Drosophila melanogaster: one gene and its partner. The protein of the gene in region 1 purifies or fractionates together with the protein of each later gene. This does not show direct contact. Each region holds a gene or a part of one and is shown on either strand. Other genes may lie near its edges.

The links.
Region 2: the proteins of CG4716 (region 1) and CG33096 purify together in Drosophila melanogaster (affinity purification with mass spectrometry, with the first as the bait; one large-scale study listed by BioGRID). This does not show direct contact.

What each region holds. Positions count from the first base shown.
Region 1 is NT_033778.4:13,251,276-13,262,141, forward strand, and holds CG4716 (uncharacterized protein), read left to right. Parts: upstream 1-5,311; 5' UTR 5,312-5,407; coding exon 5,408-6,079; 3' UTR 6,080-6,171; downstream 6,172-10,866. Other genes in the region: CG4712 (uncharacterized protein), read right to left, coding at 1-272; CG4714 (uncharacterized protein), read right to left, coding at 621-994, 1,052-1,148, 1,223-2,950; CG10799 (uncharacterized protein), read left to right, coding at 6,676-7,176; CG42319 (uncharacterized protein), read left to right, coding at 9,413-9,619.
Region 2 is NT_033777.3:25,093,511-25,107,841, reverse strand, and holds CG33096 (uncharacterized protein), read right to left. Parts: upstream 10,171-14,331; 5' UTR 9,837-10,170; coding exon 9,373-9,836; intron 9,309-9,372; coding exon 9,129-9,308; intron 9,068-9,128; coding exon 8,935-9,067; intron 8,647-8,934; coding exon 8,563-8,646; coding exon of another isoform or gene 8,374-8,562; exon of another isoform or gene 8,057-8,373; intron 7,901-8,056; 3' UTR 7,713-7,900; coding exon of another isoform or gene 6,096-7,712; 3' UTR 5,696-6,095; downstream 1-5,695. Other genes in the region: CG34027 (uncharacterized protein), read left to right, coding at 1-841, 895-1,576, 1,632-1,751, 1,815-2,224, 2,290-2,601, 2,655-3,026, 3,083-3,336, 3,402-3,584 and 2 more; CG45095 (uncharacterized protein), read right to left, coding at 4,235-5,275; CG33095 (uncharacterized protein), read right to left, coding at 6,096-7,712; fd96Cb (forkhead domain 96Cb), read right to left, coding at 11,909-12,724.

The DNA of each region.
Region 1 (10,866 bases):
CCGGACTTCTTCATTTTCATCTCCTCCGCGTCACGCTCCTTTAGTCGATTCATGATGTCCTTTATTGCCAATTTTCTTTCCTCCTTTCTAATGATTTTCAGTCTTTCTTCACTGTTTTCATTTGATGACATAGAAACCATTGAAATATTCACCGAAACAGACTTTTTACTATCGCCTGAAAATCTCGAGAGAACTTCATCAGCCAAGCTTCGTACCGCTTCGTTTTCCTCCAACAAATCAATCTGAGGTTCTTCATTATTCTCCGTTTCCATCGTGTATGTATATATTTACTTCACTACTTATTTCGTTTTTGCATACGATCTTAAGTATTTGTATTTTTTATATTTGTTTTAATGTGCTTTTGCTGTTTTTTTTGTTTTTTATTATATTTTTAGTGTTTATGTATAGAGTTGTTGTGTACTCGTGTACATTTGTTATGTATCTGGCCCTATGCTTTTTTTGACAGTTTTTTCATCGAGACAGATGTTGTGAAGGGTACACTATAGTGGTGTACAAGTATTGCTCTTTCAATCCATTTACAACTTATTGTCACAGTAAAAGCAGCCAAACGATTTTATTATAAATTGTACTGTTTTATTGATTTGTGGATTCTTACAACTCTATATACTTCTTCCCTCTACATAGCTGAGCCGACGTTGGAGTGACTTTAGGGTTTCCCTGAGCTTGGCCACCGTTTCCCGCTTCTCCTTCAATCGCTCCACAGTGTTGTCGTAGTCGTACATCAGCGAGGGCATCGCCAGGATGCCGCCGTGGAAGGTCATATCCCTTGACTGCTGACGCATCTTCTTCCGCTCCAATTTCACTTCGTAGAGACGTCTACGCAGGTCTGTCTGATTTTTCATGGCATTCTTCAACCGGATTTTACTTAGCTCAAAATTTTCCGCCAGAGCCAGCGCCTTTTCTCGATTGTGTCGCGTGAGATGAACGTCCATGAGGAACTGGGTTCGCATCCTCTTCAGATCGGTATTGCGTTCTGCGGGAAATTTGTTCATTAGCCCATGTATTTTTTTTAGGCAATAATGGTGCTCACCCTCGATTTTCTTTTGCAGGGCAAACACATTATTTTGCACGGACAAGAAATCTTCGATACTCAAGGTCTCACTCAGTGTGTCAAGTTCCTTGATTTTCTGCTCAAGTCACAGAAGAATAATGTTAATTTGTTAAAAACTGCTGCGGAATTCGCAGTCCACGGCAGACTTACCCCCATAATGCGACCTAAGGTGTGCTTTCTTGTGATGAGAAACAGTCTGGAGTCGCTGATCTCGTTCCGCTTGGCTGTCATCATTCTCAGTTCGCGATCAACTAAACGTCGCAGATTATCCGATTCGGGCCGGACCAGGTGTTCCCGGAACAGGTGCTCCAAGCGTTCCTCAGTGATCGAGGCGACACTCTGGGCGGAGTGGAGATCCAGGATCACTCTGTTCATCTGGATGGCGTGCTTGTGCTTGGCCACATCCAGTCGATACTTCAGACTGTCAAGCAGGGCCAGGGCATGCATGTATCGGGAGTGGAATCGTTTTTCATTTTCCGGCGAGAGTGTGGCGAAGACACGGGCATTGCGATTGCGTTTATAATATTCCACAAGTCGATTGCCCACCATTTCGTTGGTGTACTTCTCATACAAATATGTAGTGATGACTTTATCAAGCTCGGTCAATAGCTTATTCTTGTCCAATTTCGCCCGAATTTTATTGTCCTTGTTGTGGATGTCCGATAAACTAGCCGTCTCCTCGAAAAGGTCGTACAGTAGTTCACGGACTACCGCCTTGATCTCGAGAGCATGCGAAATGACTGGATCGTCTCGGACCTCGGGAACTGCAAAGGCAACCTTTGACAATGTGCTGAATGCATCGATAGAATCTTGGTTTTGTTCCACTCTTTTTACGACTGGAATTTCATCGAATTCCGGTATGTCGGAGACATCGAAAGAGTCGACCTCACTTTCTGGAGCCGCCTCCTCAGCCTGTTGCTCTTTGTCCACGTCTCCAATCGATTCCGACGACGAGCTGGAACCGGAGTCCATGTTCGACGTTGGATCCGCAAAGAAGCCATGATCTTGCTGGACGCTTATCACCGACCCAGCGTCCAATGACTGTGAAGACTCGTCGTGCTCCTCCGATATGTCCGACAGACTGGGCACATCAAAGTCCCTCAGAAAGTTGGTTTTTAACTGGACTGAATCCGGATCGCATTCGGTTTTTAACGTTCTTGTCGATACAATGCTTATGCCAGTCAAACTAACCGAATAATCAATGTCCTCATACTTCACATCCGATTGGAATATGTTTCTATCAGCGGGGCCATCTGAGAAGCCATAGGTGGGGAATAGGCTGACCAATTTGGGTGGATGGAATGGATAGTCTTCTGAGTCGTCGGTGAGAACTGACGAGGACACAGACTCCCCGTCTCCAATGGTGGGCTCATCAAAGGTGACTACCTGTTCCTGCTCTTCTTCCTCTACCTCATTATCCCTGATCTCTTCCATATATTCCGGTGTAAAATGAACTGGGCTCTCGATTGCTGTCGGTGCAAAGCGAGTGGTTGCGAAATTCTTCAAACGCTCCTTTCGCTCCTTCTTCAGCTTCAGTTTCTTTTCTTCTGGCGATAGTTCATCTGATGCTTCCGTTTGCTGCACTTCATTACCAAGCTCAGTTGCTTCGATAGCTACGTGTTCGGTGGTTTCCGCTTCCTGTCCCTCCTCCGTCGCCACCTGGGCGGTAATTGCGCCAGATTCGATCTGTGGCTTCTCCTCCCGCGGCTCATCGCCAGCTGGTTGGTTGCCCTCCTCTGGCTTGGAGATCACTTCGGGCTCAGCTGTTGATTCTGGTGGCACAACCACTGGAACAGTGTCTACCTCGGATTTTTCACCTGCCTCGATGGCCTCCACCACGTGCAAGACTTCTTCCGTAGAGGCATGATTCTGGGACATTTTTGGTGTTAATGTGTGTGTGTGTTTTGTTTTTTTTTTGGTGTTTTTGTTGTTTTTAAATGTTTTTATTATTTTATATTTTTTTGTGTGTGTTTATTTTGTGTTACCTGTGGGTGTGTTGTGTTTTTGAGTTTCTATCTTATTGTGACAAATAACTCAAGCTAAATAATAGGTAATAAAAAGTTTATGTCAATATGGATTAATTAAAATTTAAATATATAAATAATAAATACATATATCCAATACTTTTTGCAAAGCTCTTGCAGTACAAGTTATAAATGAACGCATTTGATTTAAAGAAAAACTGGTATACTTTTAGGCTTGACATACTAATACTATATCCATTTAGATTAAACGTTCTTAAGCAATAAACAAAATGAATTTAAATGATATGAACTTGTGTAAACAGATTCTTTAGTCTTAATAAGAAGGCGATTTTTTATTTTTAAGAACTACAGCTCCATTACCGAACTTTGTGTGGAATTAAGGCGAAACTGCCGGACTTTAAGCACCATCTGGGGTCCAATTGGAGGACCTAAGTAAATCTTGCGAGGGCTTTAAAGTTGATTGATCGTTGCCCATTGTGTGCGTGTGTTCTTGGAATTTTTTTTGTCCGGGTGCGGTAAACTTTATGACATTGATAAATTTTTAATAAATATGACAAAATGTCGGCGCTTTAATTCACTGCCATTTTGGGCAGCGGCACCTGGTGCCTGGAGCAAGGATTTACATAAAAGTGCTGCAGTGCTGAAGAGTATAATTTGCATGGGAAGCACTGCAGCACGTGGAATGGATTTCGGGTCTTAATACTTTCCGTTTGATTGTCTGGGCGTGGAAATTGATTCAGCACAATGCCAAATTGCTTTAAATTATGCATGAGCCTGCGACTTTGCTCCACCCAATCCACTGCTTTCCCTTTGATGTTGCGGAGGACATCTGGGAATCATATTCAATAAGTTGGATCCGCAGTAAGAGGGCAAATAACTTTTTTTATGACAGACGCAATGGGCCAATCCCCTTTGATGGCTGTTAAATAAATTTGTTTTCGATGTTATTTAAGACGCTGCCATTGCCGCGCCTTCAGGTGAATAATAGCCAACTTTCTGATGGATATTTAATAGTCGGGTAAACACCGGTGACACTATAATTGCCCCTACTGGGCACTCATCAGTGGACACATGTGACCTACCGGTGGACGCACTTCCCAGTCGTCTCACGTCTTCTTCGGCGAAACCGAAAGGGAATCCTTTTGCTATTTATCATTCAGTCCGAAACTTTTCGGGAATCCTTTCACTTTTTTTTTTTGTTTGCTTATCTGTCTTAAGTGGCATTTTTGGCTTAGGCGTCTACAGTATCTGTCGGATACTTAGGAGAACTCTTGAACTTGACTTTCCCTCCACGAAACGCTTCAATTACGCTGGCACGTTGCGCCGGCAAAATTGTAATTTACGAGTGTTTCTCTACACAGCGCGGGAAAAGATAGTCTTTTGGATACACAAATCGAACAGATTAAAAAATGATAAACAATTTTATGGTAAAAGTTTTCGTTTTACTTACTTTTACTTATATGAAAAGAAGAAATAGGCAAGCGCTTAACTTTCGGATTTTTTGATTTAATGGAGCTCTTTGGAATTCATTTTTTCATTAATAAATTTAATTTTATATTTTTTCCCAGAAATTATATATACATATATATGCTGTTTAGATTAGAAGTTCAATTTATGTGGGTCGTTCTTTAAAAACAAATATGGATTTCACTGAAAAGCATTAAAAGATTAGATGAGTTAACATATATATTATATATATATTTAATTAAGGAATTTATCTATAAAACAAAATTGTAAAGCTAATAAAAAAATATTATGTATTCAACAAGATTTTGAGTGTTTAAATTTGTTTTAAAATAATTCTGAATACAAAAATATTACCTGTGACTGGTAAATTTACATTTTTTGCTTGCTGTGTACTCGGATTATACTTATACATTTTTGCTCATCTGTTTTGAAGTAGCATCAATAATTACAAATTGCGCGTCGGGATGATCTGTAGTGATCCGTGGGCTTATCAGGCCTGACTTTGGCAGCTCGATAGTGCATCGCGTTCCACAGCCTCTCAATTTGTTGTCATGAATTATGCAAGTGAGTCTGGATTTCTGGACTCGCAATTGGCGCAAACTCGGAAATTGCGCAGTGCCGCGGAAACTGAAAATGGGAGAGAGTGTTATGTGCAATCTATATGAAATATATGTATTTATACATTCGCATTTGATGGAAGCTTTAATTACGGTTGCACCCGTAATCTGAAAATCTGGACAGAAACGAACTTTTGAGGTTTCTTGGCAAATCTTTGCCATCGGTCGTAGTCAGTTTGCAAAATAAGGTCTTGGCGCAAAGTGTGCCTAGAGGAGCACAGGAGAGTTTACATACCTTAAAAGGTTATACCACAAGGACTAGATCAATGCAGCGATCACTGTTACTACTGGCCGTGTCAGCCATCCTTTTCTGTGCTGCAGTGGCTCTGCCCTCAAGACTAACCAAATCCGAGGAGGATTGGCTGGAGCAGATGCTGACGCTGAGCGAAGACAGCGGTGAACTGCAGGACCTGGACGAGAGCACCGGAATCCATATTATCAAACGATCTGCCAAGGATGCCAGCAGCTCATCTGAGGAGCATAATGACAAAGCCAAAGACAAGGCCAAGAACAAGGCGGACAGCTCCGGCGATTCCTCCTCCGAGGAAAAGACAACACCAGCTGCGGTAGAAGAAACAACTACGGAGCACACTGCTAGGAAACGCAGAAGCACGGAGGATACGATGGTGCGATCCTTTTGCCAGTCACTGAAAGAATTCGATATTAAGAATTTCAATCTACAATCTGCATATGACCGGGCCGTAAGCTTTTGTAAGCAAAGGGAGTCTAGACGAAGACGCCAGGCTGCCGATCAGAAATCCAGCGATGCGCCGGACCTGGATGCCCAGGCTGAGAAGGAACTGGACGAGCAGATGGCGCAGGCTGTGGCGGAGCTTTTGAAGGACAAGGACAACACCAGCATCGAAGACTACGCCCAGGGATGCGAGGTCATGGAGGTTAGCTCCAAAGAGGCCAACGAGGCCACCTATGCCGAATGATTTTGAATAAACATAAATAACATTATAGCTTATGTTTTCGTAGCCATATTACATTTTTACTATTATTATAATGACTGAGTCATCAAAACAAGAGATTAGGCTATTGCCTATGTATTATTTACTTTTTAACTTATGGGGTGTGTTTATTCAAGTTTACGAGTAACACGTATAAATATCAGCAACAAGAAATATTTTCCTCTTCTAATAATTAATTTTGCCATATTATTTAACTATTACAATTTTCATTACTTGAAATGCATTTGGAAATTAGCTCACCTAACATTGAAACTTAGCTTATTTAATTGTGTAAGTCAAATTATGCATTACGTGTCTGTTTTAAGGGACTAAGTGCGTCTGTTTCAATCTACATGCATTATAAAGAGTCATTTCTGAAACCCACTATCTGCCTGACTCAATTGAATTTGAGTCTATAATCACATAATCGCCGAGGAGGCGATAGCACATTTGTTGAGGCTTCGCCGGTAACGTGTGCAGCTGTCCAGAATCAGTTCGAAAAAATCAGTCTCAGCGAGAAGAACCCACCCATCAAGCTAGTGGAATAGTGGAGTTTACCAGGATATACAAAGATTACCGGGATGCGTCGATCTGTTTTGCTGTTCCTAATCTCCGCCATTGTGCTGAGCGCGGCACTTCCTTTGCCCCCAATTTGGGAGGACTCCGAATCGGATTCCGAGTATAATGATTATAGTGAGCTATCGAAGCAGCAGAATCTGAAGAGCAGTATCGAGAAAACTATCAGCAAGCGAGCTACCAAGGACACTAGTAACAGCACGGAAGATGATGAGCTCACGGATGGTAGCAATGAGAATGTTAACGATAAAATGGACAGCTCAATGGAATCGTCTTCTATGCTGATCATGGCATCCGAGGAAGAATCGGAGTCCGCTGTCAGAAGGCGCAGGTCTGGTGAGAGGAACAGGAATATAGGGCTCCTGGCCACGATTTGCCCAAATGCTGATTTCAGAGATTTGGAGAACGGTATTACCCTAGATTCTAGAATTGAAATAAGGGATATGTATGCGATTTGTAAAACTCTACCAGAGTCCGGTCGTCTACAGCAATACAACCGTTCATAAATTAAATAAAAGCAAAGAAGAATTCTAAAAATTTAAAAATTCTTCTGAAATTTGTTTCCCTCAGTCATGAAACCCCTGTCTCATTAGTCATCTACCTCATTATCAGTAAAAACCATCCTTATCACGACAGCAGTCGTCAAAGTTGTCTGACCTCAGAGCAAAAATGTCAGTTTCATGTTTGTTTACGCTTTTGAATTTATGATTTACTCATGAGAACTAAAAAAAGGTCTGCATTCTTGAAGTGATTTTAGAACGCTTTGGTAACCAATATCTTGTTAATAAGGATTTAGAAATATAAAATTTTTTTTTGTAATATTACCAACAAAATCTTTTGGAGAATTTCGATCGATACTTATAACCAACTTTGAAACTTCTCTTTGAAACTGAAGCTAGGGTATCTGTTAGTCGAGGAAATTGACCACAGCATGTTCTTTAGTTTCCGTACGAAAAACTATGCATATATGCTAAACGAATTGTTTTTTTTTGTTTTCTGAAGTCTTTTTTGTGATTCGTGTCATCTGCATTTTGCGCCCTTTCCGACGTTTGGGATATTGAAAAATTTTCTCGAAAAAATCGCCTACGGTTTTCTCCCTTTGTTTGTCACCATTTGTTGTTGTTGCAGCTTTGCGGCTGATAAGGCACGTTTTGTTCACTCTTTTATGGCCACGTCAAAGAAATGTGTACGAACTATTCCTTAAACATGCATATCACACACATGAGCATATCCACATTTGTAGTATTTCCTGTGCTAATCGAAATTTCGTTGTCAGGTGTGTGCCACTTTTTTGGGGCCTTTCTCCGAAAATTTCCCACACATGGAACTCTGATTTCCATTGTTGTTTATTTGACAAGTCGAATTCTTTGCCTGTGAGCTTGGCACGTTCAAGTTATTTATTCTGCTTTAAACTTGGCAGTTGACGTGCATCACAAAGATGTTGGGTATGGACATGAACTGCGCAAAGGCTTTAAAATATGATTTTATGGTAGAGGTAAATTAAATTAACCATTTCTTAGTTGATAATAATTGGGATGTTACTCGTGAATTAATTACTTTATTCGTTTAAAAGTATATAACACGTAAGGGAAAGCGTTTCCGAAACTACATAGTATACATATTCTTGATCAGGATCACTAGCATATCCGGACATGTCCGTATGTCCATCTGTCTGTCCGCATGAACGCTATGATCTCGGGAACTATAAAAGCTTGAATTTTCAAATTGGTATTTGAGTAGTGATTTTATAAATAAATTTATAAGGTATCATCTGTTACTTTCATCTCCAGTTCCTTTTCTTGATTGAATATAAAACTAGCTTGCATGCGTAGCTTTAATTAATACTCGTTGTTGAGCAATGAATAATAACTTAATAACAGTGGAAAGAGAAAAAACAGCTGATGCTTTGACTATGAATACCAAATGCACTTGTGAATTTAAACTTGTATATTTGAGAAGATCTTTAATCAAAAGCAAAAAACGCTTCGACTTGGCAAAAAAAAAAAGCAACAAAGAATGCAACAGTTTTGCATCGTCACATTATCTAAAAAAAAAAAGGAAAAACAGACCACGAGGAGCAGAGGAAAAGCGCGAGAGAGAATGGGGAAAATAGAAAAAATGCAGCCACAAAGGAAAACTTCTCGAAAATTATTTTAGTTGCCCAAGTCGAGTGCAGTCGTGTGGAAGTGAAAGAGAAGCCACAAAATACAATAAAAAAAAAAGAAAAACAAAAGAACCAGGCAGCAGGCATAAAAAAAGCGTTAAATACACTTTCCATAATTATCCCTCATAGTCGTGCTTATTCTTGGTTATTCAACAATTTCGGAGTTTCCGTACTTTTCGCCACTTTGCGGGCCAAGATCCAATGAGATTGGGGTTGTGCAATGCGTGACTGCTGATTATATAAGTCGCACAATTACCCAAAGTTCAGGCATTCAACTAGTTCCTTCACTTTCAATAGAAAGTTCGAAAGTAAGCGAGTTTCAGGTTGTGTTGAAAAGCCGGCAAAAGTCGAGTAATATTTTTGCACAGGCGGAATTTTGACAGGCAAACGCAAACAAGCAATCGGAAAAAAGAGCAACTAAAACTTTCGCAGCGCTAAAAAAAAGAGCAATATAAAAGTGGAAAGGTAGAATAGAAAAGCAAGAGTGCCGCCGGCAAGAGTGCGAATTTATAAATAAAACCAGCGGATAGCAGGAAGAGATCCGGTATCTCTTCGCCAGAGAACGGGTAAACAAAGCGATGCCGGAACAACTGGGTCTGCTATGGTCCGTGCCGGAGTCCAAGTCAAAGGCGCCCATCATCAAGGTGTCCTGCGGCATCGGCGATACGGACGGCTATCCCGCCTTCGATGTCGACTCCGATGCGTATGCCACCAAGGACGACAGCCGGTGGGGATTCCTCATAACCGGCGGAGCCGAGTTCCATATGCCGCTGACAGTCTTCCAGGTGAGTTGCGTGGTTAAGCTTGAGGTCGGCATGGGGGTGGTTCACCCTTGGGAACGGGACCATCTGGTGCCTGGCCAAGAATTATATTGATACAGTCAATCTCGGGCCATTGGAAATTTTAGCTAAGGCACTTAAGCTGAACTGGATAACCGGAAACCACCAGGAAAGGGAAAAATACAATAGAAATTTGCAATATAAACCAATTCCTCATTTCACTTCAAACTTATTAAAGTTACACCGCATGAAGATAATTTATAACATGGTTGATAACTAGTGGTATTAAATAGTATGCGTTTGCTTAGTGGTGTTTATTTCAAGTTAAAAAATGATTTAGATACATCGTAGGCTTAATTGATTTTTAAGATTTTAAGAAGAGTTTTGAGAAGAGAAAACCTGCTGACTAAAATCTTTTTTCTATTTTTCAATTATTTGAACAATATACGTAATGTATAGAATTTTTATTGATAATCAACTGGCTTGAGTTACTCTTGCAGTAGTATCTACTGTAGCTTCTTTCCGCTGCAACTGCTGTTTCGTCATTGTTTCCAATTTTTGGTTGCGAGCCAGAATGACAACAACCCAACCCACCAGCCCACGTCAAATTTGAATTCCAATTATGCTATGACGAAGTCGCATCGAATGCAAATTGGCTGCCGCCAAATAGAAGCGGGCATTTTATTGTTTCTTCCATCTGCACCTGCCGCGCCCCGTCTTCGGTCTTCGTGTTCGGTCTTCAGTGCTCAGTCTTCGGTCTTCAAGTCTTTTCTAGCCTTTTAGTTGGCGTGTCTTGTCTCCGCCTGTTTTGCTCTTTTTGGCCCACTTCAGTCTCGAGTGAATGTACAATATTTGGGTTAGCCGAACACCCCTTCCCATCAAACATAAAATAAATACGCTGGTTGTCATAAAAGATATTTGTCGAAGCAGATATACAATCGAATATCGGATCAATAAAAGTATTTTTACACGCATTACAACTGGAGAAATCCCATGATTATGGGTATTGGAAATCAAAGTCATAACCATTTTGTATTTGTATTATAAACAACACTTATAAAAATGTTACGCACTGTACCGTATATCTATGCAAAATGATTTCCCATAAGGCAAAACTATTAGTATTGCTTTTGGCTTTTGTGCAACATTTTACTTTTGACGTTTTGCGTTTAGTCTTAAAGAAAAATATCAATTGTTGTTTTGTTTGTTTTATTTTTGAATTCAAGTCATTTTGAGGGTAACATTTGAAGAGT
Region 2 (14,331 bases), on another chromosome or scaffold:
GCTAGAACTAAAGAAATTAATAAAAATTTTGATAAAAATTATGTCCCACCTCGGAAAAGTATGTTTGATTCGAATGAACTTCCATACAGGAAAAATCATGAAAATATTAAGTTCAAGTCACCTCTAAAAAGCCCTCATGATGTACAAGACTTTCCGTATGAAAATGTAGATAAGCATTTTACTTTGACGGCATTTCCCAAGCAGAAAAGTGATTTACATGAAATGGAAAATGAAAAAAATAATTTTATGACATCCGATAATAGGAAAACGAATACCTATGATTTTCCAATTGAGAGGGAAAATAAATATTTGAAATCGCATTCCATTGATAATATTTATGATTTTCCTCAGGAAAGTAAAAAGCACTATGAAAACTATAAGCCAATTTTGGAAAAGGCCTATTTACCCGTGGACAGTATATATAAAAAGAAAAACTTTAAAGGATCTAATCATCAATATGAACTCGATTTTCCATTGGAAACTGTAAAGGATCAATATCATTTCAGGAATCCAGTCGACGGTTCAGCGAGTGCTATGGATTTTCACAGTGAAATGGGAAGAAAGGAAAATAATTTTAAAAACCCGGATTATAGTTATTCACCAGAAAAGTCATATGACAATAGCCTTTCCTTTAAAAATGAGTTCGAAAGTGGTAATGAAAACATAAATTTTAACGCACCTAAGGAAAATTTGAACAACCACAACTTTAACTTTGATACAAAATCAGAGTATCAAAGTTTACCCGAAAGCAAAGTTAATGATTTTTCCTGGACCCATGGAAACATTGGAGACGAAAGCCTTGATTCTATTGTGACCCATCATATGAAACAAAGACTTCCAGGTGAGCTAAAATTCTATTTCAATGGCGTGCAATCAGTAATTGTAAAATTTTAGGTAACGATAATGATTTCAATTTCGATCATTTGAAGCCGGCTAGTAGTCAAAAATATTTAGACTTCAGTTCCAAGCCGAAGATGAATCCATATTTGAATTACCCAAAGAGCAATTCCTATAAGACGTTTCCACGATCAAGATACCTAAAAAGGATGAAACGATCCGCGCTTGAAGATCGTCATATGGAAAACGATGAAGATTCTGATTTGGATCCAAAGTATGATACCGATCTTAACTCATTGAAAGCGTTGAACTTGAAGCACATTGATGATAATGGTGAAATTCCATGTGATACTTGCGGGGGCAAGAATAAAAAGAAGGATGAAAAGCCCCGAACAATGTGTAGTAATACTTTGGAGGATCCCAAAAGCATGGAAGGTAAAATCGAGAATGTGAATACCAAACTGGATGATGCCGTCCCTTGTGACACGTGTGGTGGTAAGAATAAGAAGCCAGGAGGGAAACCCTTGCCTAGTGGATTGCCTTCTGAAATCAACAGTTTAAGTGAGGAAAATGAAGAGCGTCGCTTGCCCGACTATATGATACCTTGTGAATGTTGCAAGAAAGCCAATAGATACAGATACACAGAAGGCAACCTGGATTCTGCATCCTGCGGCTGTGTTACCAACCCAAAAGTGTGCAGTTGTGAATCCTCCAAGTTATCCCGAGCTTTAAACAATACGTAATTGTTTAATATATATAATAATTTTCTGATCATTAACAATTTCCATGTTTAGTTTAAAGGAATGGAGCTATACGATTTTTAATATGAAGAATCCTGTACCATTTCTAACCACCAAGCTGCGTGTTTTTAGAAGGCGTCACAACACGTGGTGGTTGGTTGTTCCGATAGTAACGTGAGTTTAAATGGTATGGTTATAGTGATTTAATAACTTAAAAATTATTTATTAATGAACTAGGCTTGATAGTTTATCAGGCATATTTGCAAATGATGACTTTTCGGCTGTGTTTACTTCTCACATCGATATGATTCGCCTGGAGAAATTAACAGGCTTTTCCAATCGAAATCTTGCTGTTCCCAATGAAAATGAGAATACATTTGCTAGAAAACGACATGCCATTACCCTAAAAGACTTGCAGAATAATATTGGGAATAGTGTTCTGCTGGATGAATCGAATAAGGACGTATCTATTAGGGAAATAAAGAGATCTTTCAACTTGAAAGCTCAAAAGCAGGATAGTATTAAAGGGTTAGAAACTAGAAGCATCAAAGGATTGGGATATCTTCCAGTGACTATGAATGCGTTGGATAATTGCCCTCATAAGGACAAAACCCTATGCCTAAATATTCGGGACGAGAAAGTACCAGGTGGTAATCCAAGCACTATATATGTATATATTCGAATTTTTTTAGTCATAATCTTATTTATTTAGAATTTAGTATAAAAGTGAAGATACCCTTTCGAGAAAATGCTTTCGTTATGCGCGATAAGCATATAGTGAAAATATCAAGAATCGTTACCGATGCAACCACAAAAGATGCGCTTCAAATTTCGATCGATGTTATAAACAATGGTTTTCAAGCCCAAGAATTCATCATACATATTTGCAATTGCAATATTTTAAAAAGTGGATCAGCATCGAATAGTGCCAGAAGATTATTACAGCCTTATATTGGCCAAACCATAATTTTTCTATTGCCCTTGATAGTAGGATCGAAGAAAAACAAGAAATACAACTGTGATGGTAGGTTTGAAATATATTTGTAATTATTTTAATGTGCTATCTAAACTTTAAAGTGATCGTTAAGGCGAGCACAGAACTTGATGACAATGATATCAATCTAGCGAAACCCGTTGACCCAAAAGTAGGCGTGGTTGCCAAAAGGACAATGGACATTAAATGCCACTCGAGGTGCTTTTGTGTTTGGCGTTGTCGATGTCACTGCATCGGAAAGCTGGAAACTTTCATAAACTACAATGCTTGTGAAAGAATGGATCCCAAGTCCGAGAAAGAGGCTGGACTCATCTACAATTGTCCACCGGGCAACGAGCCACAAGATGTGTGCATCAAGGACGTTTTCAGCGATCGAAATGAGGAGATAACTTGCAATCTCTCCTGTAAAGTAATAGCCATTGCATTGATAGTTCTGATTTTACTATTCATATTGGGTAAACCTATTATATACTGCTTTAAAATGCAATATAAAATATCTTTCTTTTCGCAGGACTTTTAAAGGCCATTCTCGGCATCTGCATTACTTGCATAGGTCGATTTGGCTTCGACACTGTACAGCCTGGCAGGACATACGAATACACATCCTGCATTAGGATCTTTTTGATCAACTGCTTCTTCTTCATCATATATCCCTTTGCCTGTTGGTTCAAATGCTTCCGACCAAAGGCGAAGGACCTCATAGATGCTAGTTCCGATTGGGATTGCATTTCCCAGGACGATGAAACACCCGAATGCTCCTGTAACGTAAGTGGAACAAACTATATGGATTTCCAAATTTGTATCTTATATAGATAAGAATTATGCTTTAGAAAAAGGAGTCCAGTTCAAGTTGCCGACTCCATGGTGGCCAGGATATACAAGATAATCTAGTGCTACCCTTTGCTCCACTGCATGAAAATGGTTTATTTAAGGACGAGAAGTCAGACGACGAGGAGAGTCATTTGTTTATCCTAGAAGTGTTGGAGGAAAGCAAATGTTCCCTGACCAAGATGGTAATTATGAATCGTTTTTTTTTTTTACAGAATATAAAGAGTTCTTCTTTGCAGATGAGTCAAGTCTTGGATCCTGGTCAGAATGTCGAGCAGGCCACTGAAAGTCCAAGTGTCGATGATATGGCGGCCGAAGAGTTTGTGGAAAGTCTGATGAACTCGCAATTGGCTTATAGAACATTGAGTTCGCCAGTTGGCGGAGTAGTAGACATCCCGAATAAGTATCAGTATTGCGTGAAAGGGTTCTTTGTGCAAACTATAAGCTCATCGTTTGAATTCATGAGCTTTCATCCATTGTCCCAGTTTGTGGGAATCACAGAGGAGGTAATTATTATATCATCTCATGTTAGTAGCTTATTACAAATATTTCCTTAGAACGAAGTAAGGACTCTGCCACAACCTCAATACATCCACTCCAATGAGTTCTCTAGAGTGTATGCTAATAAAATGGAGGTTCATAAGGCAGGTGATCTGTCAGTGGTTCCTCCACCGAATGTTCCTTGCATCAATATCGACCATGAAAATCACTTGGAAAGTTCCTTTGTTAAGCTTGCAGCGCAACAGGAGCAAATCAAAGCAAATCAGAAATAAAAAATTATAATCATTACTTATTTTTATTAAATTTTCAATAATTTACATTCTTAAGTTATATGCTAATTCAATGGAACGTTGTATGCAGAATGTTCATTATATGGAGTCGTTGTCTCTATATGTCCATCCATAGTTTCAGCTATTCCTGCCCTGATGTCTATTAAACCACTTCCATCTGAAACCTCACTTGAAGTATCCATTTTGATCTGGGACTCGGGTGAAGTAGTAGTTTTGTTATGTTCATCGTAGTACTTAATAAAGTAAACTTCCGTCTGATTCGGAAATGGACTGACTACATCCACTTGATGATTCGAAATTGGCTGGCTTATGGAAAACTCCGAACTTGTTTTCAGTAAAGCCTCCTCCCTTTGCAGTTCATCCTTTATAGTCTGGCCAGGATCCCTAAATTCGTATACGGATGTATTTTCAGATGCCTGACCCTGGTGCTCATCCGGGGAATCGTAGATGAATCCACCATTGTCCACCGCTGAGGACAAAGGATTGACTGACACAACTTCTCGATTGCTATGCTGCTGATTGCTTTCATATGCGATATGCGATGGCCGAGGGTCGATTGGGGAGTATGGTTGACCTACTGAATTAACAACATTGTGGGCGTTGAAATCAGATTGAGATTGAGTCACATAATTTATGATCGGTTTTGGAGTGGAATTGGGCACAATGTAGTGGTAATGTATGTGCTGAACTGGTCGTGGGTTTTGTATTTGCAATTGAAAATCTGATGAGTAAGTGGATTGAGTGTTTACTTGTGATCCGTACTTTATATGCGTAGCTGATGGGTTTTCATTGATCTTGGCTTCTGGAGCAGCATTTAATTGAGAAATATCATGGGGACAGGGATTTTCTGGATCAGTACTCGATGTGCGAGTTGTTTCACCTAAATAACTTGGCGGTGGCAGGATGTTCTGATTAATTTCTTTCTGATTTACGCGGTTTACGATTCTCCCAATCGACTGAGCTTCAATAAGAGAGTTTTTTGTTGAATTATATGTATTATTATCTTTATGAACGGCAGCACACTCTCCGTGGAAACTTCCAAATAAAATTATACTATACGCCACAAGCACTCTTATCCAAAGCATTTTTTTTTTTTGTATGAAGTGAACAAATGTTTTCACAAGAGACTATCAACAACTGTCTTTAATCCGCTTTGCATTCGGACTTTATATGGATTCCAGATTACATAAATACACTCTGAATTGCTCGGATTATGTCAACGAATCCCAACTATGGGCCTTATCCAAAGCGAGCTTAATTTGCTTGTTTTTCGGTGAAAGTCAAATCGAATGCAATTAATAGAGGCTTGATTTGCGTGGGTTGTCAAATTAATACGTTCATAAAACCAACCAATTGTATAAAAGTTTCTCTGAAAGAGTATGAATATAAACAAAAAGCAGTGAAAGCGTAATATTTTCTCAACTTTAAGAGTTTAAAAACCATTGTACATTTGGGAACTTTTCAAACCCCCCACACAACAGGCGGCCAATGAATAACAACTAGATGCGTTACTTAGCTCTTTATAAAGATTTTATTACTATAAAATGTATTACAACAAATATGTAAAATGACAATAAAATGAGGAGAAAATACACTATTACACACATATATATGCTTTGCGAATGTAGTTAAGCCTAAAACTTAGCCCCATATTGTTGGCAGGGCATTATAGTGTTACTTAATATAAATGCAAAATCACTGTAAAAATTTCAAACTTAAGGTACTACTAAAATTATTATTTATTACTTGTTTATTATTCATATTTAGATTCGATTGATATATAAGACATATATGTATGTATGTTTTTTGTGGTTTTATATTTTGTATATTTTCATGACCTATGAATGAGCTATGCAGAGACACTTTAATATCGGCTTTCGGTTTTCGGCTTCCTAGCAAATGGTTTTAACAGGTGGTTTCTAAAAGTGGATCAGGCTTATAAGTACTCGTAAAGGGGTTTACATTATTAACAATTGTGGAATCTTTGGGGCCTCGTTGTAGGGATATAAAGTCTTCAAGGTGGCTTGTACTCTGCACTGCGGCATCCCTACTCACATGAAATTTGTCCATCTTGTGAGGGGCAACCAGGTGAGCCTCGCCCACGCCATCAGATGTCGGAATTTTGCTAACGTTACGATCGCTGAGGGATAATGAGATGTTTTTCTCCAAAGGCGGTTCACGGATCTGCTCGGACAGTCGACGGATGTTCAGGGGTAGTTCATCCTTCGATTGAGTGGGAATCGATAGGGAGCTGTGTCTAGAATGCAGCTTTTCTACTTGAAGCAATAATCTTGCTTGAACATTCGGACACAGCAAATTACTATTGTTTTGTTGTACAGATTTTCTAACATGGTTCGGCAATGGACTGGATATCTCCTTCACCTTGTCCGGTAAAAAACTAGCTGACTTGCTTTGAATGTTGGCTTTCAGATCGTTAGAAGGCTGGTCGAGAGACCAGATTTTATGCGACGTGTTGCGATATTGCGGAGAGAATGGAGCAAAAAGCAATCCTGGCTCATTTAAAAATACTTGATCATCGTCCAGCTCCGTTTTCGAATGCTTCAACTGCGGCTTTGCACACTTTGATTTCTCAGTTCTGGTCGAAATTAGTTTATTGTTTATGGAAGAAAGGGATTTTTCGCGGTAGAAATTTTTCTTGGGAAGCCGTGAGATTTCCACAGCAGCATCTGTTTGTCTCTTGACCCACGGATCGATATTGTGATGCATGGTGTTTGAATACTTTTCCGTTTTGGGGGACAAGCTGTTCTTAATATGCGAGTTCTTTATCCATGGATCCGAAGGATACACCAAACAGCCCGTACTCCTATTGTTCGTATCGTAGAGAAAGTTAGCTTTGTCTAGCTCCAAGTTGTTTGGGGAAGTTTGCTCCGATTTGCTAATCTTATGGGTAAGCTGTCGATAAAATTGATTGTCTGAATTACTGGAGAGCTGCCTTGCTGTTTGGGTACCTAATCGCGAAGACTTCGTGTTCTCACTGTCGTCGGAAATTATGATGGCCTGTTGAAACCCACTCTTGTGTAACGTCAGTCTCGGAGACAGCGATTTTTGCTCCTTTCCAATTACACTTTTCAATTGCAAACAACCCTCGGTTGAATTATCTAATGCGTTTTTTTCCGACGCTGAAGAGAGTTTCGGGTCTTTTAATTTACTAATGGTAGATTTGTTACCAGTATCTGAGCTCAGTTTAATTTTGATTTCTTCGTTTGCTTCCGCTTCTGAGCCATTCGATTTTTGGGCCTTCTCGCAGTTGCATATTAGAGTTGATGAAATGGATAAGACGTTTTGACTGTCCTTTAGAGATCGGTTAGATGCCACTCTTTTTATACTTTCAGTGTCGATTTGTTGGGACACTTTGTTATTTAGATATCGACCGGAAAGTTGGGTATGCTGGCTATTTATATGTATATTAGCATTCATTGGTGAATGTGGAGAAAGTACTGGAAGTGTTGGAGCAATATTTGGTTGTTTTAAACGAGAAACAAAGAAGCCGTTCGACTTCATATCGGTTAATGGTGGGTCATCTTTCCTATTTTGTTTACTATGTCTGTTTCCGCACGATTTACTTGATAGTTCCCTGCTTGGGAACTGTGGTGAGAAGGGTTGGGCTTTTGAATATGAGCCCGACTGTTTTTGCTAAAGAAACTTCTGCTCGAGAGCTTTAGTAGAACTCTGGCTGGAATTTGAGGCACCTGCAAGAAGAGCGAACACACACACATTAGACATTAGCTGATCACAAATTAGAGAGAAAGTTACAAATCATAAATGGTAAGAAGATATTCACTGTTTTTCCTAAAAGCGTAGAAGCCAAACAATAAAGTGGTTGCAAGTAGAAAACAGTTCACTTTCAAAGTATCAAAAAATTACTTTATTCAAACTTCTTGTCCTTAAATATTAAAACCATATTACTGTAGCATATTGCTAACAGATCGTTTTAGAACTTAATGCGGTTATTGTTTGATTTTTCTACCAATATGGTTAAGTATAAGATGATATGACCTATGCTTATTCAATTAATACGGGGACCAGGATCACAATGCTGTAAGAATGGGGATCTTGGTGCAAGTCTCCTGACAACTAGTTAATTATAATCTTTTAAAAAATGCAATTCTCGAATGTATTGATGCGGCTGAATAAATAATTACATTGCAATACTTATAGTTAATTACAAACCATCGTTTTCAATCCGTTTGACATTTGTGTCCACATTCTTTTTACTTGTTTCGCTTCCTGCCGCAGGGGCAGGATTCGGGTGCTTTGAACTTAGGGACGCACTACCGGCGGCAGGGTTTGAATTAGATATTACGCCCGATGTAGTGTCGCTAACGCCTCCGTCCACATTATTCTTTAATTGTCATTTGACGAGTTCCACCGAAAGAAATTTGCGCAGTCGCTCGTAATAATGCGGATGCAGTTCCACATCATTATGTCCAGCACCCTGAAATCAAAGTTTCTCATGAGTTTGCAAATTAGGCTAAGTTTTAAGTCATATCATTAAATAAATAAATAAGAATCGATACGATGAGATCACATTGCTGAGAAAGATTGATTGAATTGCCAATTTTAATGTTTATGAAAAGCTGTGAACTTGATACGAGACACTTAATCGATTTCAGGGAAAACGCTAGACTATTAGAATGAATAATAACAATAATTATTCCGGTTAAAATGCTGCTTAATAAGTGCATAACCTGCTCTAGGCGGGTAATCAATCAAGAGTAATTACCTCCACCCAAAACGGCTCGACAGTCTTAGGACACCGCTCGTAGATTCCGATGCCATGGGAAAAGTCAATGACCTCATCATCGGTGCCGTGGATAACCAGAACCGGAGCCTTCACCTTAGCCACCTTATCAATGCTGCGTGGAAATCCGATAACATTAGAATTGGCTATGAACGCAATTCAACGAATTATCTCACCTGGGAAAGGCGTCGAAGAACCAGGTTCTCTTTGTGTTCCTAAAGACGACCCTTAGGCCGGACATCAGCGGCGAATGGAGTATCACAGCGCCGACCTCGTGACGCGAGGCCAGGTCCACAGTGGGCACAGTGCCAATGCTTTGGCCATACAAGATGATTGTCTCCGGGCTGATGTTGAATCTGGTTTGAGGGTGCATAACGAGTTAGCAAAGCGGAATCAATGGGGTGAACTAGAAGAGCTTACCTGGTTCTCATCGCCTGCCAGGCAGCCTCGATGTCCGCATACAGATTCTTCTCGGACGGCTTGCCGCCACTCATTCCGTACCCGGAGTAGTCGTACCCAAAGATATTGCAGTTGATCTGGGAGCCCAGGGTCAGGTAGAAGCTGCTCATTTGGCCCAAATCCACTGCATTCCCGTGGGAGAAGAGAAGTGTGTACTTGGCATTCTTGCTGCACCTGACATAGATGCAGGTGATCAGGTTGCCACGCGAGGTGCGCGTAAAGAAGGCCTCCACTTTCGATTTCTCACGTTCAGAGTACTGCCACTCGGCGCGGTCGAACAACTGCAGGTTGTACCGGATGTTGGTGTCGTCCGCCGGGGTCAATTTGTACGTGGGCTCCGGCGGCTGGAAGGCCAACTTGGCCGCAATGGGACCCGGACACGGGGGGCAGCAAAACATGCAACAGAGCTCGCTGATACTGAACATGCTCGCTCCGTGCCTTGAATGTCTCTACGGAATGCTAACGATTTCGATTTCTCGCCTCAAATGCACGATTACCATCAACAAAGGACTAACGGAGTTTTTGGGTTCAGACTTCGGGTTCGGGCCAATTCGCGTCTATATCATCTATACGTGGACGAGCAAGATGTCAGTGGGCTAGGCGACGGGGGTGACGAGACAAACATAACATTTCGGGCTCAGTTCGCACACAGAATTCAACATAATCGAACGGTTAATGGGTAAATTGTCTTACTGAAATTTGGTACACTCACATTTACAAAATGGCAATGTAGATAGGCAAACAACCACAAAGAAGTAAGGTGGCTAAAACGCCCTAAAAAACAACGGCGCTTTTGGTATTTTTAGTGTGACCGCCTGGGCAGCGAGTACAAAACACCAGCGAATCGAATCTCTATTTTCCCCAGAACGAACTGGAATCGGAACGAGGGATATATTTATTCATTCATATTCATTTGCCTTGTTAGGCAAATACATTTCAATAATGATGATTTAAAACCTGTCATGAAATGTGTGCCTGCAAATCTGCAAATAGTTTTTAAAAACTCTCACAAAGCGTGTTCAAAAATGCAGACCACCTTAGAGGAATATTTTAAAGTAAATTTGGGGAAAATTTTATATAAAAAGTATCCACAGTTTTTGAGATGTGTCCAGCTATGAAGTAGCCCATATATATAAGAGCCCTTAAATATTTTGTGCATGTAAATCGGATTTGTTTCAATATTATCTGCTTCAATACTTTATAAAGTTATGTCATACATAACTCTTCACGTTTATGTACATAACGAATGTTTGTATGCACATTTTTCAAATTTGGTACATAATACGTAGTCCTACAACTAATTGGTTGTACCAAACCAAAATTGTTTCCTACTTTTATAGTTTCTATGGAGAAAGGATTTCACCCGGGCTCATTTGAAGAATCCTAGTTTGGTAATAAACATATTTAGAGAATGCTATTCCATAAGACCAATGCGCATAAAACAACCTGATCTTATCCCATGCATAAAACAACCTGATATTATCCCATGACTTTAAGGATGTTAAGTAATAATGTGTATTGTATTAATATTGGCCAATAGACTTATGTTTTGAATATTACAGTTTCATCTGGAAGATCAAAATAATAACCTGAGATCAAAAACACTTAAGTTTACAGGACTTTCCCTAGATAAAAGCAACTTTCAACCATTTTTTCGTTAAAATATTTTCTGTAGATCATTGAATTTATGTAGTAAAGTATTTCAAAATTCGGCTTCCAAGTCTGTGCCACCTTTCTTGTAAGACATAACAAACTACATTCCGCGCCGTATCGACCGACGACCCCGCTCCCCCTTCTTTCCAATGGGTGTTTTATAATGTATGTGGAAGTGGATGTGGATATGGATATGGATGGTAGCGAAGGCGAGGTGTTCCGACTAGGGTTGAAGTCAAACATATGTAAGGATGATTGACAGCTAATGGAAACAAAAGCAATTCGAATACGTGTGTGTGCATGTGTGAGATGCAAATGATTTGCAAAACAAGGTAGGAAGGCAAGTTAACCATTGCGGACCTATTTTCGACCTGTAATCGAATTAATCGGCGTCTATTTATATATTTACAACCTGTAGTTTGTTTTCGAGCTGCAATTATCTAAGGAACCAAATAGATTGGATGTTAGTTATGTACATAAGTATATTCCCTGTGGCAATAGGAATTGCAAATAATACACAGTTTAAACTTCACGACGGAGATAATAATTATGGGTTTTACACATTATTCTAATGGTAAACTAAAATAAAAAAATAAAGTATCGGGTGCTACAGCTAGACTTCACAGACCTACATAGTTGTATAGTTTAAACAAACATTTAATACAATTATAGGCAGTTCTTTATTGACTTTAGAGATCTTCTAAACTCAACTGTTTACAATACGGCTTCGTTTAAATAAGATGAGTACACAAGTAAATAACATAAGATTACAATAATAGGACCACTAGTGAGTATGTTTTAGACATAGCTTGGTTTAACTCTAGTTTAACTATAACTTTCATAATCAAAAGACGGGCAACGGGCCGTTATGAAAAAGCGGCGGTGTTTTCTGGTAGCAAGGTATGTTGCCATATTGGCCGTTGTAGAAAAAACTTGGGAAGTATAACTGATACTGCGCGGCGAGTTCGTTGAAATTGAATGGCAAATTAAACGGCGGCTTTTCCAACGCGACGGCATCGGGACTGCCGTACTCCATGGGCACTAATCCCTCATTTGGCGTGCTCGCCGGATCCGGAGCCATGAGACTCTCGATGGTGAAGGCGCGCTTTGGCCGCGCCGGAAGTTGGGTCACAGTCGTCGGAAGGATCGGCGGAGTAGCCTTGTAGGGTGACATTTGGGCAGCAGATGCATTGGCGAGCACATGACCATGCCGCGCCGGATCGGCAAAGGCCATCTGCGTTAGCTGATCGTCCAGATAGTGGGTCACCATCTCCGTATTGGCGGCGGCGGCTAATTTCCAGTTCGAAATATCCTTCTCGAGCTGCTTGACGCGGAAACGTTTTCGCCGCCGCAGCAGGCTGCCATTCTCGAACATATCGAAGGCCATGGGATGAAGTGTCCAGTAGGAGCCCTTGCCGGCCTTGGTCACATTCCTCGGCACCTTGATGAAGCAATCGTTGAAGCTGAGATTGTGCCGCAGTGAGTTTTGCCACTTTTGCGTGTTCTTCCGGTAGAATGGAAACTGATCCATTATAAATCGATATATCTCACTGAGCGGCAGCAATCTTTGCGGCGAGTGTATTATGGCCATGGCCGTTAATGATATGTACGAGTAGGGAGGCTTCTGATCACCGTAGCTCATTTTCAATGGGCGTGGCATTGCGAAGAAGTCGTTTCAAAAATTCACACAATCGTTCCCCGTCCGCACCAAATAATTCCTTATGGGGTTTTTTTTTTTTTTTTTGAACTTCAGAGCGATGTTTTCTCGGCGGCAGCAGCGTTAAGACTAATGCGAGGGGCAGCAAAACTTCATGTTTTATGGAACTGGCTGCTCGCAAAGAGCAAGACCGGATTTGGAGAGCTGCCTCTCGCACACATGCCCATGCCCAACCGGTGGTGGTATGTCAACTATCCACAATCCAGTATCCAGTACTCACTATGCCGAGCGAGAAGGCAATGTTGGCCAAAACAGGTCTCGGATCTGGTTGTCCTTGTCTGAGCGGCGTGCCAATGGGAATCGAAGGTGTTGTTTACGGCGAATTTCGAAATGGGTTGCCCGGAGAGTTTGGACCAATCATCGCGTATGCGATTACCCACACACAATATAGCCTAACACCAGGAGCAGCGTGGCGGAAAAGCGTTTTGTCCCGGCGACAAGGCAACAACGGCAATAAGGCCCCATTTTTTTCCCATCGCCATTTTCAATTTTCGTCGAGATAGCAGCACAATCGCATTCACATATGTGCAAATGTGCTGCAAAAGCACAATTGCAAGGGGAAAGCCCTTGATTTGCAAGCTTTTGTCAATACCTGTTTATTTTATATGAATTGTGGGCGGGTCGGAACATGAAATAATAAAGGAAACGCTCGTATTTCACTTCCCATCGTATTGCTTCGCTTCAGAAAATGATTTAAATTGTTTTGGCTTTTGCATGAAATTGAAAAATAAATTATGAGCACCAGCGTATTTGCATTATCTTGTACGTTTGCCAGCTTTAGTTGAACATATCCGTACAAATAAATTAAGGTGCTTTCCGTTTTATATTTATGTAGAGATAACATGTACTATTCATACTTAAATTTTTTAAGGATAGAACTTAATAAAAATTGTAAGCTAAGATATTTTTATCATATTTGTACTTTGTTTGTTTTTTATTATTGCTAGATAGGCTACAAAAAGCTATTGCACGATTGATTTGCTACTAACAAATTTTAATTCTTATGTTACTAACTGATGTCAATGTTTATTTATTATCTTATAACTTGTAATCATGATTTTGAATATCATATAAATAGTAAATTGATCTTTGAATAAAAATTATATATTCGATTTGGTCGTTAGGGGCTTAAATTTAATGTAAATGTCAGCAGTTGGATGACACTTCTTAAACTCATAACACACTCTAATTAATTTAGGAAAAATTATTATTAAATCTATATGAAATCTAAATCTATATGGCAGCTGAACTACTTCTTACACGGAGTGTCTGCAGCCTTATGGAAGCCAAAAAAAAAATACAAATCACAAAAATATCGGTTTTTAAGGTGTTTCAGTCTTCTTCCGTTTAATGATCCCCTTCATTTCCTGCAGTGGATTTTAAATAATCCTGTGGTTTAATTACTATTATTAATGGGACAGTGTAAGCAAAAATACAAGGCTTATGATAAATATGAATATAGTGGTAGTCAATATTTTTTTACAGAATTAAATTGTTATAAATGTACTCGGAATTAAGCAAATATTTTACTTCCAACCGTCTCTTAGCTT